Elephas maximus indicus: one gene and its partners. The protein of the gene in region 1 binds, or shares a complex with, the protein of each later gene. Links are inferred from orthologs where the notes say so. Each region holds a gene or a part of one and is shown on either strand. Other genes may lie near its edges.

Evidence for each region.
Region 2: the proteins of SPTLC2 (region 1) and SPTSSA are in contact, whole or in part, in a cryo-EM structure (PDB 7K0K), measured with the Homo sapiens proteins. The link is inferred for Elephas maximus indicus from reciprocal best matches to the Homo sapiens genes SPTLC2 and SPTSSA. Residues at the interface, in NP_004854.1 of Homo sapiens: Leu73, Gly77, Val80, Leu81, Phe84, Leu87, Arg88, Leu91, Leu126, Arg129, Ile130, Tyr156, Met475, Pro476, Ala477, Lys478, Gly480, Ala481, Arg484, Glu485, Asp533, Leu534, Leu535, Gln536; in NP_612145.2 of Homo sapiens: Trp15, Tyr18, Gln19, Leu21, Leu22, Val23, Thr24, Ala25, Tyr27, Met28, Leu29, Glu30, Pro31, Trp32, Glu33, Val36, Phe37.
Region 3: the proteins of SPTLC2 (region 1) and ORMDL3 are in contact, whole or in part, in a cryo-EM structure (PDB 7K0O), measured with the Homo sapiens proteins. The link is inferred for Elephas maximus indicus from reciprocal best matches to the Homo sapiens genes SPTLC2 and ORMDL3. Residues at the interface, in NP_004854.1 of Homo sapiens: Glu65, Thr66, Pro67, Met68, Ala71, Val72, Tyr75, Tyr86, Gln116, Phe118, Glu119, Asn120, Phe121, Tyr122, Tyr127, Trp134, Asp259, Glu260, Leu261, Asn262, Val267, Arg271, Ile279, Met320, Val495, Val496, Gly497, Phe498, Pro499, Ala500; in NP_001307730.1 of Homo sapiens: Met1, Asn2, Val3, Gly4, Thr5, Ala6, His7, Ser8, Pro12, Val16, Ser19, Arg20, Gly21, Ile22, Leu24, Ser25, Leu28, Phe63, Val67, Lys68, Gly69, Thr70, Pro71, Phe72, Glu73, Pro75, Gln77, Arg81.

The regions. Positions count from the first base shown.
Region 1 is NC_064828.1:90,419,307-90,423,049, reverse strand, and holds the start of SPTLC2 (serine palmitoyltransferase 2), read left to right. Parts: upstream 1-1,211; 5' UTR 1,212-1,310; coding exon 1,311-1,436; intron 1,437-3,743. UniProt on the Homo sapiens protein: Component of the serine palmitoyltransferase multisubunit enzyme (SPT) that catalyzes the initial and rate-limiting step in sphingolipid biosynthesis by condensing L-serine and activated acyl-CoA (most commonly palmitoyl-CoA) to form long-chain bases.
Region 2 is NC_064828.1:46,869,321-46,873,063, forward strand, and holds the start of SPTSSA (serine palmitoyltransferase small subunit A), read right to left. Parts: upstream 2,308-3,743; 5' UTR 2,219-2,307; coding exon 2,107-2,218; intron 1-2,106. UniProt on the Homo sapiens protein: Component of the serine palmitoyltransferase multisubunit enzyme (SPT) that catalyzes the initial and rate-limiting step in sphingolipid biosynthesis by condensing L-serine and activated acyl-CoA (most commonly palmitoyl-CoA) to form long-chain bases.
Region 3 is NC_064837.1:47,192,787-47,196,529, forward strand, and holds the start of ORMDL3 (ORM1-like protein 3), read right to left. Parts: upstream 2,440-3,743; 5' UTR 2,355-2,439; intron 1-2,354. UniProt on the Homo sapiens protein: Plays an essential role in the homeostatic regulation of sphingolipid de novo biosynthesis by modulating the activity of the serine palmitoyltransferase (SPT) in response to ceramide levels.

The DNA of each region.
Region 1 (3,743 bases):
TCGGCAGTTCGAACCCAGGAGGAAGTGTGGAAACCCTGGTGGTGTACTGGTTGTTTGGCTGCTAACCAAAAGGTTGCCAGTTTGAATCTACCAGGCGCTCCTTGGAAACCCTGTGGGGCAGTTCTACTCTGTCCTATAGGGTCACTATGAGTCGGAATCAACTCCCCGGCAATGGGTTTTGTTTTTTGTTTTAATAGTGCATGGAGTCCTGGTTGCCCAGTGGTTAAGAGCTATGGCAGCTAACCAAAAGATCTGCGGTTTGAATCCACCAGCTGCTACCTGGAGACCCCATAGGACAGCTCTGCTCTGTCCTATGAGGGTTGCTATGAGTCGGAATCAACTCAACAGCAATGGGTTAATGTGCACAACACGTTATTAATAAAAATCCTGCAGTGACTCTATGAAGCGGGAAGCAGTAATTCCACTTTACAGGTGAAGAAACTGGCTCCCAAAGTGCTTAAGTACCCAAAGTTTAGCTTCCAGTAATTGGCAGAGCTGGAAATAGACCAGCTTTCCTGGCTTTAAAGAAGATGGTACAGAAAACCCTGAGAGAAACTATGTAAAGGGCAAAGGGACATCTGTATTAAAAAATGTGTTAACATATCTAAAGAATGTGTGGTATATATTGAAGAATAATGAGAAGAGAATGAATGTCAAAAAGGCTATTCTATAAACACCCACAGAGGAATTAGTTAATTAAATAAAGGAGCTTGCCAGTCTTGGGCTGAGGTTCAAACCATCTTCCCTGGAGGCAAGGGCAGAGAGGGCACCGCCAATCCAAGACAACTAGGAAACCCGCTCGAGACTTACGCTCAGCCCCCTTTCTCTCCTCACACTCTAATTGGCTACTTCTTCTTGGACCCCGCCTCCTCCTCGTCCAGACCATTAAGCAGCCAAGCCCTATCCACAACCCGCTTTGGGCCTCCAATCAGCTGGCAGGCTCACAGTCCCTCGGGAGAATCCCCATCTACCCCGGCGAGGCGCCTTATTCTGGCCGGTGATTGGCCAAGAGGCCGCATAAGGTACGCCTCCTACTCCTACAGATTGGTCGACGGTCCTCAGACACACGCTCCTCCTTGGTCCGATCCCGCCCCGCCTCTCCCTTTTTGGCCGGGCCTGCGGAGAGCCGCGGCCTTCTGGCGGGATAGGCCCCGCCCCCTGTGACGGCTAGGCCAGGAATTGGCCGCTGCTCTGCAGCCATTTCCGGTTTCGAGGAGGTGGGTGGGGTGCGGAGCAGGGTGGGACCCCTGGCTGCCGCCACTGCTGCCATCGCCTACAGAGCCTGCCTTGTGCCTGTCGCTGCTGGGACGATGCGGCCGGGGTCTGAAGGCTGCTGCTGCCGTCGCCCGATGCGGGCGAACGGCTGCGTTGCGAACGGGGAGGTGCTGAACGGATATGTGCGGAGCAGCGCAGCTGCCGCCGCCGCCGCTGGCCAGGTACCGTGGGGCTGGGCGGCGGGCGCAGCGGGCGGCGCGGCTGGGGGAGGCGGGCTGGGACCCAGCGAGCGGGCGCCGGAGCGGAGCCGGCCGAGGGGCAGCCGGGCGGCGTAGGGTTGCGGTGGCTCTCTGCGGGGCCGGGCGCCGGGGGCGGCTCGGGCGTGCTGGCCGCGGGGTCCTGGCGCTGACCGGGCCTGGCCCGAGCCGGAGGGCTCAAGGGCGGCGCAGAGGCTCCTCTCTCTCCGTGCCTGACGGTCTTGTTTTCCTCTCCGCCGAAGGCTTGGGCTCTGCTCAGAGCCACGGGTACCTTCCCTTACCTGATCCGGGTAAAGGTGCGAGCCTCTCCCAGGGAAGGCAGCGAGTGACTCCCTCGGACCCATTAGGATCCCTTCAAGGGCTCTGGGTTCTTTCTCCTGAGGCTCCCTCCTCAAACTCGAGGTAGTTGCTTCCTCTCGGTCCTGAAGGCATCCACGGAAAACCACCCTTGGAGTCTTTAAGGGGCAAAAAAAAGTTAGGAGGTGCTATGAGGAGGGATAGGAGCCCTGGTGGCGCAGTGGTTACAGCGCTCGGCTGCCAACCAAAAGGTCGGCGATTGGAACCCTCCGGCCGCTCTGAGGGAGAAAGATGTGGCAGTCCGCTTCCGTAAGGATTTACAGCTTTGGGAACCCTATGGGACAGCTCTGCTCTGTCCTGTAGGGTCACTATGAGTCAGAATGGACTTGATGGCAATGGGTTTTAGTTAGGAGGAAGGAAGCCCGGGTGGTGTAATGGGTAAAAGCCTAGCTGCTAACCAAAGGTTGGCGGTTCAAACTCACCCAGTGACTCCGCGGGAGAAAGACGTGGCTATCTGTTCCCATAAAGATTACACCCAAGAAAAGCCTATGGACGCAGTTCTACTCTGTAACATGGGGTCACTATGAGTCAAAATGACTGGAAGACACCTAACAATAGCAACGCGAGGAGGAAATACATTATTTTCTTCCTCCCAGGTTCGGGGTCCGCTGCACATGCAGGACTTTGGACCATAGATCTGGCAGTGTAACACTGCCCCGTGCCTCAAAAGCATTGTCTTCATACTCTGCCTGGGGGGGCACCCCATCCCGGGTGCAGGAGAGGTCCCTGTTGAGTTGTGGTCCCTTTGACCCTTTGAGTGAGACTGTTATCACGCAAGGGGATTGTTTAGTGGTGACTTGTGATGAGTCTGTACTAATTAACCAAGGCTGAATCACCAACCAAGTTCAGGCAGTTCTAAAATATTTTGAAAAGTTCCAAGATCAAGACAATATATCAACCTTCCAATTCTCTGGGCTGACAGATACTCTACAGATAGATGTTTTTGAAGATGAGCTAGTTATAAAGATGCAAAAACTGAGTGTTGTGATAATTTGCAACTGACTCATAGGTCTCATTCAGATATTAAGGAAAATATAAAAAAGTAGTCCGTTCCCCTTAGCAGGAGCTGTGACAGTTGCAGTTTTTGACAGGATAGTGATCTTACTTTGGCTTTAATGTAAATATCTCGCAGCTTCCCCCGATCAGTATGTATGATGGCTAGACCTGCTATTGTTTGGTGTAAATCAGTAAATAAAGCATTTCTCCAGGTCAAATTGAGATATTGAGACTATGAGAGTTGGGGGAAAAAATACATAAAAGAACCTTTTTGTTCCCTGAGGTTGTAAGGTGTAAGGCAAAATAATACAGTCAAAAGGTTTGTTTTAGTTAAAAAAAAAAAAAGGGGGCGAGGAAATGATAAGAATCAACTAATTGTAAAGTGTGGAATAATTTTTTTGTTTTCCTAGCAATGTAAGTGACTAATTAGATGAAATCGTTGTGGGATAAAATATGAACTTAATGGCTATGAGTTAGTAGATTGCAGGTGAATGAGAGGTGTACGTGTGTGTGTTAGGTGCTGTCAGGTCGCTTCCAACTAATAGCGACCCTATGTACAACAGAACGAAACTCTGCCTGGTCCTGTGCCATCCTCATCTTAGTTGCTGTGTTTGACCCCATTGTTGCAGCCGCTGTGTCATTCCATCTTGTTGAGGGCCTTCCTCTTTTTTGCTGACCCTCTGCTTTACCAAGCATGATGTCCTTCTCCAGGGACTGGTCCCGCCTGATAACATGTCCAAGTATGTGAGACAAAGTCTTGCCATCCTGGCTTCTAAGGAGCACCCTGGCTGTACGTCTTCCAAGACAGATTTATTTGTCCTTCTGGCAGTCTATGGTGTATGAGGTAAAAGGAAATCAAGAGAAAAGTGTTTACATTTTAGGGATGCTTTGTGTGTAAGTGTTCTTTTCAGTCCCTAG
Region 2 (3,743 bases), about 44 Mb from region 1:
TAAGACTGTTTTTAAGTTTTAGGTTTAAAATCTTAAGATTCTACACTAACAGATACCACTTGGTCGTAAAAACCAAAGAGAAGTCAAAAGCTAAGGGCAAAAAAATCTATAGAAGCACTGCATTTGAGTTCATAATTTATTTCTCCATCCTCCCCCCAAAAAATTACCACCTAGGAATTTATATGTTATATCATTGCAACCCTGGCAGCACAGTGGTTAAGAGCTAAGGCTACTAACAGTGGGTATGCATGGGTGGGTATCATGCAACAGAAAACAGAAAAACCATAACACCATTGACAACTGCAACATTTATCCCTATGCCAACAATAGCTTTAAATGTAAGATCTATACTAGACTCTGATAGTGGGCTCTACACTCAATTTCTGATTTAAACCCACTGCCATCGAGTCGATTCTGACTCATAGCGACCCTGTAGGACAGAACAGAACTGCCCCATAGAGTTTCCAAGGAGCGCCTGACAGATTTGAACTGCCGACCTCTTGGTTAGCAGCTGTAGCACTTAACCACTACACCACCAGGGTTTCCTCTGATTTAAAGCGTGTCAATTTACTCCAACAGCGTTTAAATCCATTTTTAAGACGATTTTAAGTGAGACAAGAAATGTGTGCTTCCATTGAGAAATTTCAATTAAATATCCATACAATATTGTACAACATCATACAAGGCATGACCTCATGAACTCTAACCTACAGAACTTAACAGTGAGACTGAACGGGAACTACAAGCAAATGGCGGGGGCAGGATGGGGGGGCGGGGCCAGACTCGACTTTACCTTCAGAATCTAAATCTGAAACATGTATTCTTGTTCTTAAATTATTCCATATTGCAAAGAAATGTCAATGATAATAAATAAACTGCCTTACAGCTAAGTTTCCTCAAAAATGTTGAAACAAAAGACTCTGAGTATAACCTTACGCTACTTCAGCACAAACACACTCCATAAGGCTTGGAATGAAATTACCTCAGTCACTCTACCGGAATGCAACAACGCATTTGCAAAACTGTCCTGAAGCAGGCAACTCCCAACCAAACCACACTGAAAAGGAAGAGACCCTGTCTGAAGTAAACACGTATGTGGAATATCAGTTTCATATTGGCCTCAAAGTTTAAAAAAAAAAAGTTACATCTCATAATTAGTATTTATTCTTCGAGAATGTCATTATCAAGCGGTGTCAAAACATAGGCAACTGGAGGCACGAAAAATCAGACTTCAGGAAGCCTCTCTTTACAACCTCGAGTTATTCGCTGGAGTTGTTGGGAAGGTTAGATAAGTTAAAATATATGCAAAAGTACCTAGCACAGTAGTTTGGCTCACAGTAATCTGTAGTCTTTAGCAAGTATTTATTAACTCTTATTCGTCCAAACAGTGTCAAACCCTAACTACAACTAACCACAAATTCCTTTTTCGGGCAGGACTTCTACGGAGGATGCAAACAGAGAAAGAATTCATTTAACAAAACATTTAAAATTACCCATCATTGAAGACCAAAAAGGAGAAAGAATTCATTTAATAAAACATTTTAAATTACCCATCATTGAAGACCAAAAAGGCACAATAACTTAAACTGCTTTCAAAAACTGCACTGGGGTGTCATGACCACAAATTCACAATCCGGTTTTAAAAGCTGGCAAACTGGTTAGAATTCTCATCAGGACCAAAGCCAGCTAAATCGGGGGACAGTTAAAGGTCAAAGGCATCCAAACTGGGAGCGATTTGCTCCACTACACGGTCTCTGCCTCCCACAAGAACACATAGGGGCTGAACCAAAAGCAGCCGCGGCCAAAGAGCAAACGAGGATGTACCGGGTAGGACACCACCCTTGGGGATTTCCTCCAGAAAAAAATACTGCTCTACCCCAGGTCAACTGACTCACAGGCAGGCTCCGGAGCTCAAGTTCTCGCCCCCCCTTGACCGCGCGACAGGCCCCCATGCCACCAGCTGCGAAAAGGCCCGTCCGCTTACCCGGGCCGGGAAGACTTCTCTCCGGTGCCCACCCGCGCCCCCCCCAGCCCCTGGGCCCGGAAGGAGGGAGCCCCGTGGCCTGCCCCAACCACCCCCCCACGCGCGCGGCCCGGGCAGGATACTGAACACAGTCCGCTCCCAGGGCTCCAGCATGTACAGCGCTGTGACGAGCAGATACTGGTAGTACAACCAGGACATCTGCTCCCAGGCCCGTGCCAGCGCCATGCCTGCCATGCAACTCCCGCGATGGGGCCGATCGTCAGTCTGTCCGTCCGGCCGCCGGTTCACGTCCTAAAGCCCAGGGGCTCGAGTCCCGCCCGCCCGCCGCCCCGCACCAATTGGCCCGTCCAGCCCCGCGCGTCACCCGTGGGCACGCCCAGCCCGGCGCGCGCCCGAGCAACCGGACGGCAGCGAGCCCCGCCCGGCCGGCCCTCATTGGCCAGGTCCCTCCTTCGCGTGTCGCCCGCCTCCTCCCCGTTTCCCCTTCCCCCGCCGGGCCGCGCCCACGCGATCCAGAGAACGGTCCCCGCGAGAGCGCACCCGCCGCGCGCTGCGTGCCGCGCCCCGTCCGCCCCGCCTCCACCCGGCCGTTGGTAGGCAAAGCGTTGTTGTCCGCTGGGGTGGGGACACGGGAGCGGTCAGTCTGCCCGGAAGGTCCTTTGAACGCTTGTCGGAGAAATAGCTGTTGAATACCTGTTATGCCTCAGGCGTCCTACTGGGCAGGGGATTACTGGAACGAACCAGGAACATACTAGGCTCCTTACTTAGTGCAGTTTACAGTCTATCGGGGAAGACAGACATTAATCTGTTACTAAAATGCAAGTAAAGCTGAATGATCAGAGCAAAGGAGGAGAATAAAGTGCGAAGAGGATGGGAGAGACGAACGTCAGCGAGTGAAGGTCAGGAAAGGCGACTCTGAAGTGATGCACACATCGCCTCCTTCCTCCCCCACCCGTGCACACGCACAAAAATATACCCACACGGACAAACATACTCCTGCACTCCTTAACCTAAAGACAACCACGGTTACGATAAATCTCTACCTGCCCACCTCTTTTAGAAGTTATAGGTACAGTGTAGGTCAAGGCCAGGAGATGCCCTCTAATCTGGTGGGTTCTGCAGACGACAGACAGGCTGCTTGAGATCCATATGTGGGCTGGTGAATCTCACAGAGATGTTTTCCTAAATGTCCAGCTTTTCCCACTGGAAAATGGGCCAGCAACATTGCACTTGCCATTAGGAACGCAATGCACTGTTAGCATGTGGTATGTCACAGTTAAATGGCCTGCTGTTTAAATTTTAAAGTGGTTTCTAGGTTTACTGCTTAAACTTTAAAACTGTCATGGTTGATAACTTTTATTAATTTAGAAATATCCAGTGCTGTTTATGAGCTAGACATTGTTGATAGAAACCAGGTAGACTGGGAGCTGCCTTCATAAAGGTACCCAGTCTATTGAGGAAGAGAGGCACTGATTTCAGTGAGGTGTGGTTAAGGGTATGTGTCATGTGGAGGATGCCAAGACAGCCCAGAGAAAAGGCTAGTAGAAGTCAAGCTGGGGTTGTAAAAGGCTTGTGGGAAATGGTGGTTGAGCTAAGTTTTGAAGAACAAATAGAAATGGAAGAGTGAACGAGTTGGGGAGGAGAGGGTGGGATGAATATTCCAAGTACAGGAGCAGACACCCCTATATGAAAGCCCAACACTTTTAAAGGGCTGGAAAAACTTCCACATGGCTGGAGCAAAAAGAATGTGTAGGCAGTA
Region 3 (3,743 bases), on another chromosome or scaffold:
CGTCACCTCAGTCTCCTTTTCCCAGCACCTGTTTCCAGGTGTAAATTAACACCATGCCTTCCCCTGCACAGTTCCAATGGTAGAAGCCCTGGAGCTGGAGGAACCAAGAGGGCTGCCATTGATGCCTAGGAAACAATGGTGGCAGCAACCCAGCGTGGGTAGAGGGAAGTGGTAGAGGTAAGGAGGGGAATGAGCAGTCCCTTCTCCAGAGCGTTGCTATCCCCAGATCCCCAAGGGCATTGTGGCCAGCTGGAAGTGGGAACAGATGGCGCCTTTGCTTAGCCTCATCCCCTCCTAGATGAGGGAGGGCCCTGTCTGATGAAGACCCTAAGGTCATCACCATGGTAACAGCCCCATCTTTCCTGGGGCTTCAGAAAGAGGTTCCAAATGAGGGAATCCTGGGAGTGCCCAGAGGCCACCTCCCTCACCCCACTGCAGCCAGCCCCTCAGATTCAGTTGCTATTTATCTCTGGCCAGGATCCCAGTTGGGCCTACACAGGAACTAGAATTCCCAAGGGTCAGTTCCCTACTTTCAGAATAATGGGAGCAAGTTTCCTTTTCTCAGACAGTTCCAAGCTTAAAGACCCCAAGGGAAATGTGGCCCACAACACACCTTCTCAACATACAAACATAGTGGGTTAGCCTGGGGTGCATCCTGGAAGATGTGATGCTTCTGGGCCCATCGGCTCAGCCCATTAGGCTGGATAATTGGGCCTAACAGAAACCCAAGGAACTAGAAAATCAGAGCTGTTTACCTTCCCAAGGCCTTGGGATTTCAGTTACCCTAACACAGCCCCTGGGATACCTACTACGCAAAAGCTTCCACCGGGGGAGGGGGGTTGGTGGTGAGAGGCTGTCTGCCTGGGAAGTGAGGGTTCAGCAGAAGTTATTAATAAAGGGAGGGGATGAGTTTCCCAAGTCTGATCGGAAACTGCTGCCCTCCTTTCCCTAACCCAGACCTACAGGGGTGTGAGTATAGAAAAAATTTCTAACCCTCCCTAGTGTCTTCTCCAGGAGTGCCGAGAGCCTTGCTTAATCCCAGACCACAAGACCCTATGCCCGTTTCTGGCTGTCACAGAACATCCTGCCCAGCCTGATGGGTCTAGGAAGGAGCTAGGCCCCAGGTCCTAGCTGCCGCCCCGAGAAGCTTCTTCCTGAAGCCTGAACACCAAGTGCCCTGAGAGCTGAAAATCCCAAGAGACCCCCAAAAAGAGGCAGAAGAGATTGAAAAACTAAGAAAAAGACTGGCAGCCAGGAAGCACTACTGAGACTTTTGTGTGAGACCTATTGTTTCCATGAGTAATATAACCAATTGACCTCTCCCCCAGAAGGGGACAGGGAGAAGAGGCTGGCAGAGGTAAAACAAGTCTACAACAGCTGAGGCTGAAAAGTCCTGCCACTGTAGCTGGCAGGTGGCTGCTTGCACCAGCTCCTAATGTGGTTTCATAACCTGCTTCAAACAAGAGCCTGCAGCAACTCCGTTCTGTTAACCACTTTCTTGCTGGTAGCTCTTTCCCACTCTTCCCCTCCCGCCCCGCCCCGCCCCCCCCCCAACTCCACACAAGAATATCCCGGCTCTGCCAGTCTGTCAAGACACCCAAGCCAAGGCTAGAGTGTGCCTCAGGGCAGCCACCAGGTGAGACCTTCCCATTCCCTCCCCCAGGTGAGGGTAGACCTTTAAATGGCAAATCTTTTGCCTTCTGGGTAAGCGGCACAAAACATCCAGGCCTGCACCCTGGACCCCAACTGGGGAGTCCCTGGAAGCACCCCACAATGCCATTTACGTTCTGCACACCCCCTAACCCGCAGGGTCACAGCTTCTCACCTCTCAGCCCCGGCCAGCCTTGGGATACAGAAGGGCGATGGGAATGAAAAGACTGACAGCACCAAGGCAATCCCCCACTAGACGGGAGAGAGGGAGGAGCGAGGAGGCGGAGTCCTCACTATTGTTGGGGCTTTCAGAGTGGGATCTCCGGTCCGCAGGGGAGCCTCCCGCTCCGCTTCCCAGCCTGGGACCTCGCACTCGGAAGAGGACGCGTTCGGGGCCCCACCCCCATCTCCACGCGTTCACCTAGCCCTGGAGGCAGCCAAACCTTTACCCCCGAAGCCGAGCCTCTCCCCGCCCCCTACCCTCAGCTGGGGCGCCCCTCTTCGGCGCCCCAACCCTGTCCTCCCGCCCCCACTTCCCTCTTTGGGCACCCCCCCTCGGCTGATGCACCCCCTCCACACCCGCTCACTTTGTCCGGGTCCCCTCCAGCCGGGGTCCCTTCCCCAGCGGCCCCCTCTCTCCCGCCCCGCTTCTAGTCCTGAGGGCCTCCCGGCTTCCCCACCAGAAGGCCTCTGTTCGTACTTACCCTGCGGGGCCGGAGGTCGGGGGCCCGGGAGTAGTGCCCCGGGACAGGAGCGGGGGCGGGGGCCGCTGCTGCTCTAGCAGCTGTAACAACCCGCAGCAGCAGCCACCCCGCTGGCAGCTCCAGCCGAATCAGCGCCCCGCGCCCGCCCCTGTGACGTCACCGCTTCGCGCCGAGCCTCCTGGCGCCTCCTGGGAGTTGTAGTTTCTTGCCATGCTCTCTCCCAGCCTGTTTACTGCCTCTCTGCAGGAAGTCTCAGCGGGACGCAATACTAAGATCTGGTGGTATTACTTTGGCTCGTAACAATTCCTGTTTCTGTATCCACTCCCTTCAAGTGCTGCTTACAATCGCCCCTGTTTTGCAGATGAGGAAACTCGGAGTTTTAAGTAACTTACCCTAGGTCCCTATGGGGTCCCAGCCTGGACCAGAACCCAGGGATCTGGCCCCAAATGCAGGGTTTTTCCACTACACGTCGCCGCCTCCGCCTTGGTCCCAGATTGGCTCCTCCAGAAAGCGGACTAACCCGACATTTTGCCCAGCGGGACCCTCCTGGGAGCAGGTCTTTTGCAACTTTGGCTGGTTTAAGGGTCTGGAAGGGCGAGAACGCAGCCTGTGGGCAGCGTTTGCGTTTGTCCAGAGCCTTTTGGCTAGCTCCTTCTCAGTTACGCTTGGCCTAGGCCAAATCCTCGGCCTCCTCCCATCAGACCTCAGAAGAGGCCACGTGTCATGGAAGGATTCCTTGATGAAGAGTTAGGAGTCTGAGTACCAGTCCCAAATCAGCGTGCGTGGTTTTGGGTGGGAGATTCCACCTCTCTGGCCGGCAGTTTTCGCAGTCTCCATCCTCTAAAGGTGAGGGCAGATCTAAAGGTAGTCATAGTGTAGGAACTCTTAGCAGCAGTGTAACCCTGTGCAAATTCCTTAATTTGTCTTAATCTCCAGTTGCACACCTGTGAAATCCTACCTCAGAGTTGTTGTGAAAATTCAAAAGAATATAGGTAAAGCACCTGTTGCATTATAGTAAACTATTTCTGTAGGAAACTAAACTAAATGGCTTTTGAAGTCTCCTGGCTAACTTCCACTCTGCATATCACCAAAGGGTCTTGTTTGGGTAGTTTCCACTCGTCCACCCAGGTTCTCTATGTTTGGGCTGGAATTGTGGAATTAATGACATCATGGCATGATAAACCTGACTGGCTGCAAAACAAAATTTTTTTATTGAGTGTATTCTGACTCACGGTGACCCTATGTGTTACAGGGTAGAACTGCTAAGCAGTTCTTGGCTGTATCTCTACAGAAGCAGATCTCCAGGCCTTTCTTGGTCAGTAATGCTGGATGGGTTCAAACCACCAACCTCTAAACTTTAGGTTAGTACAGACTGCTTGTGCCGCCCAG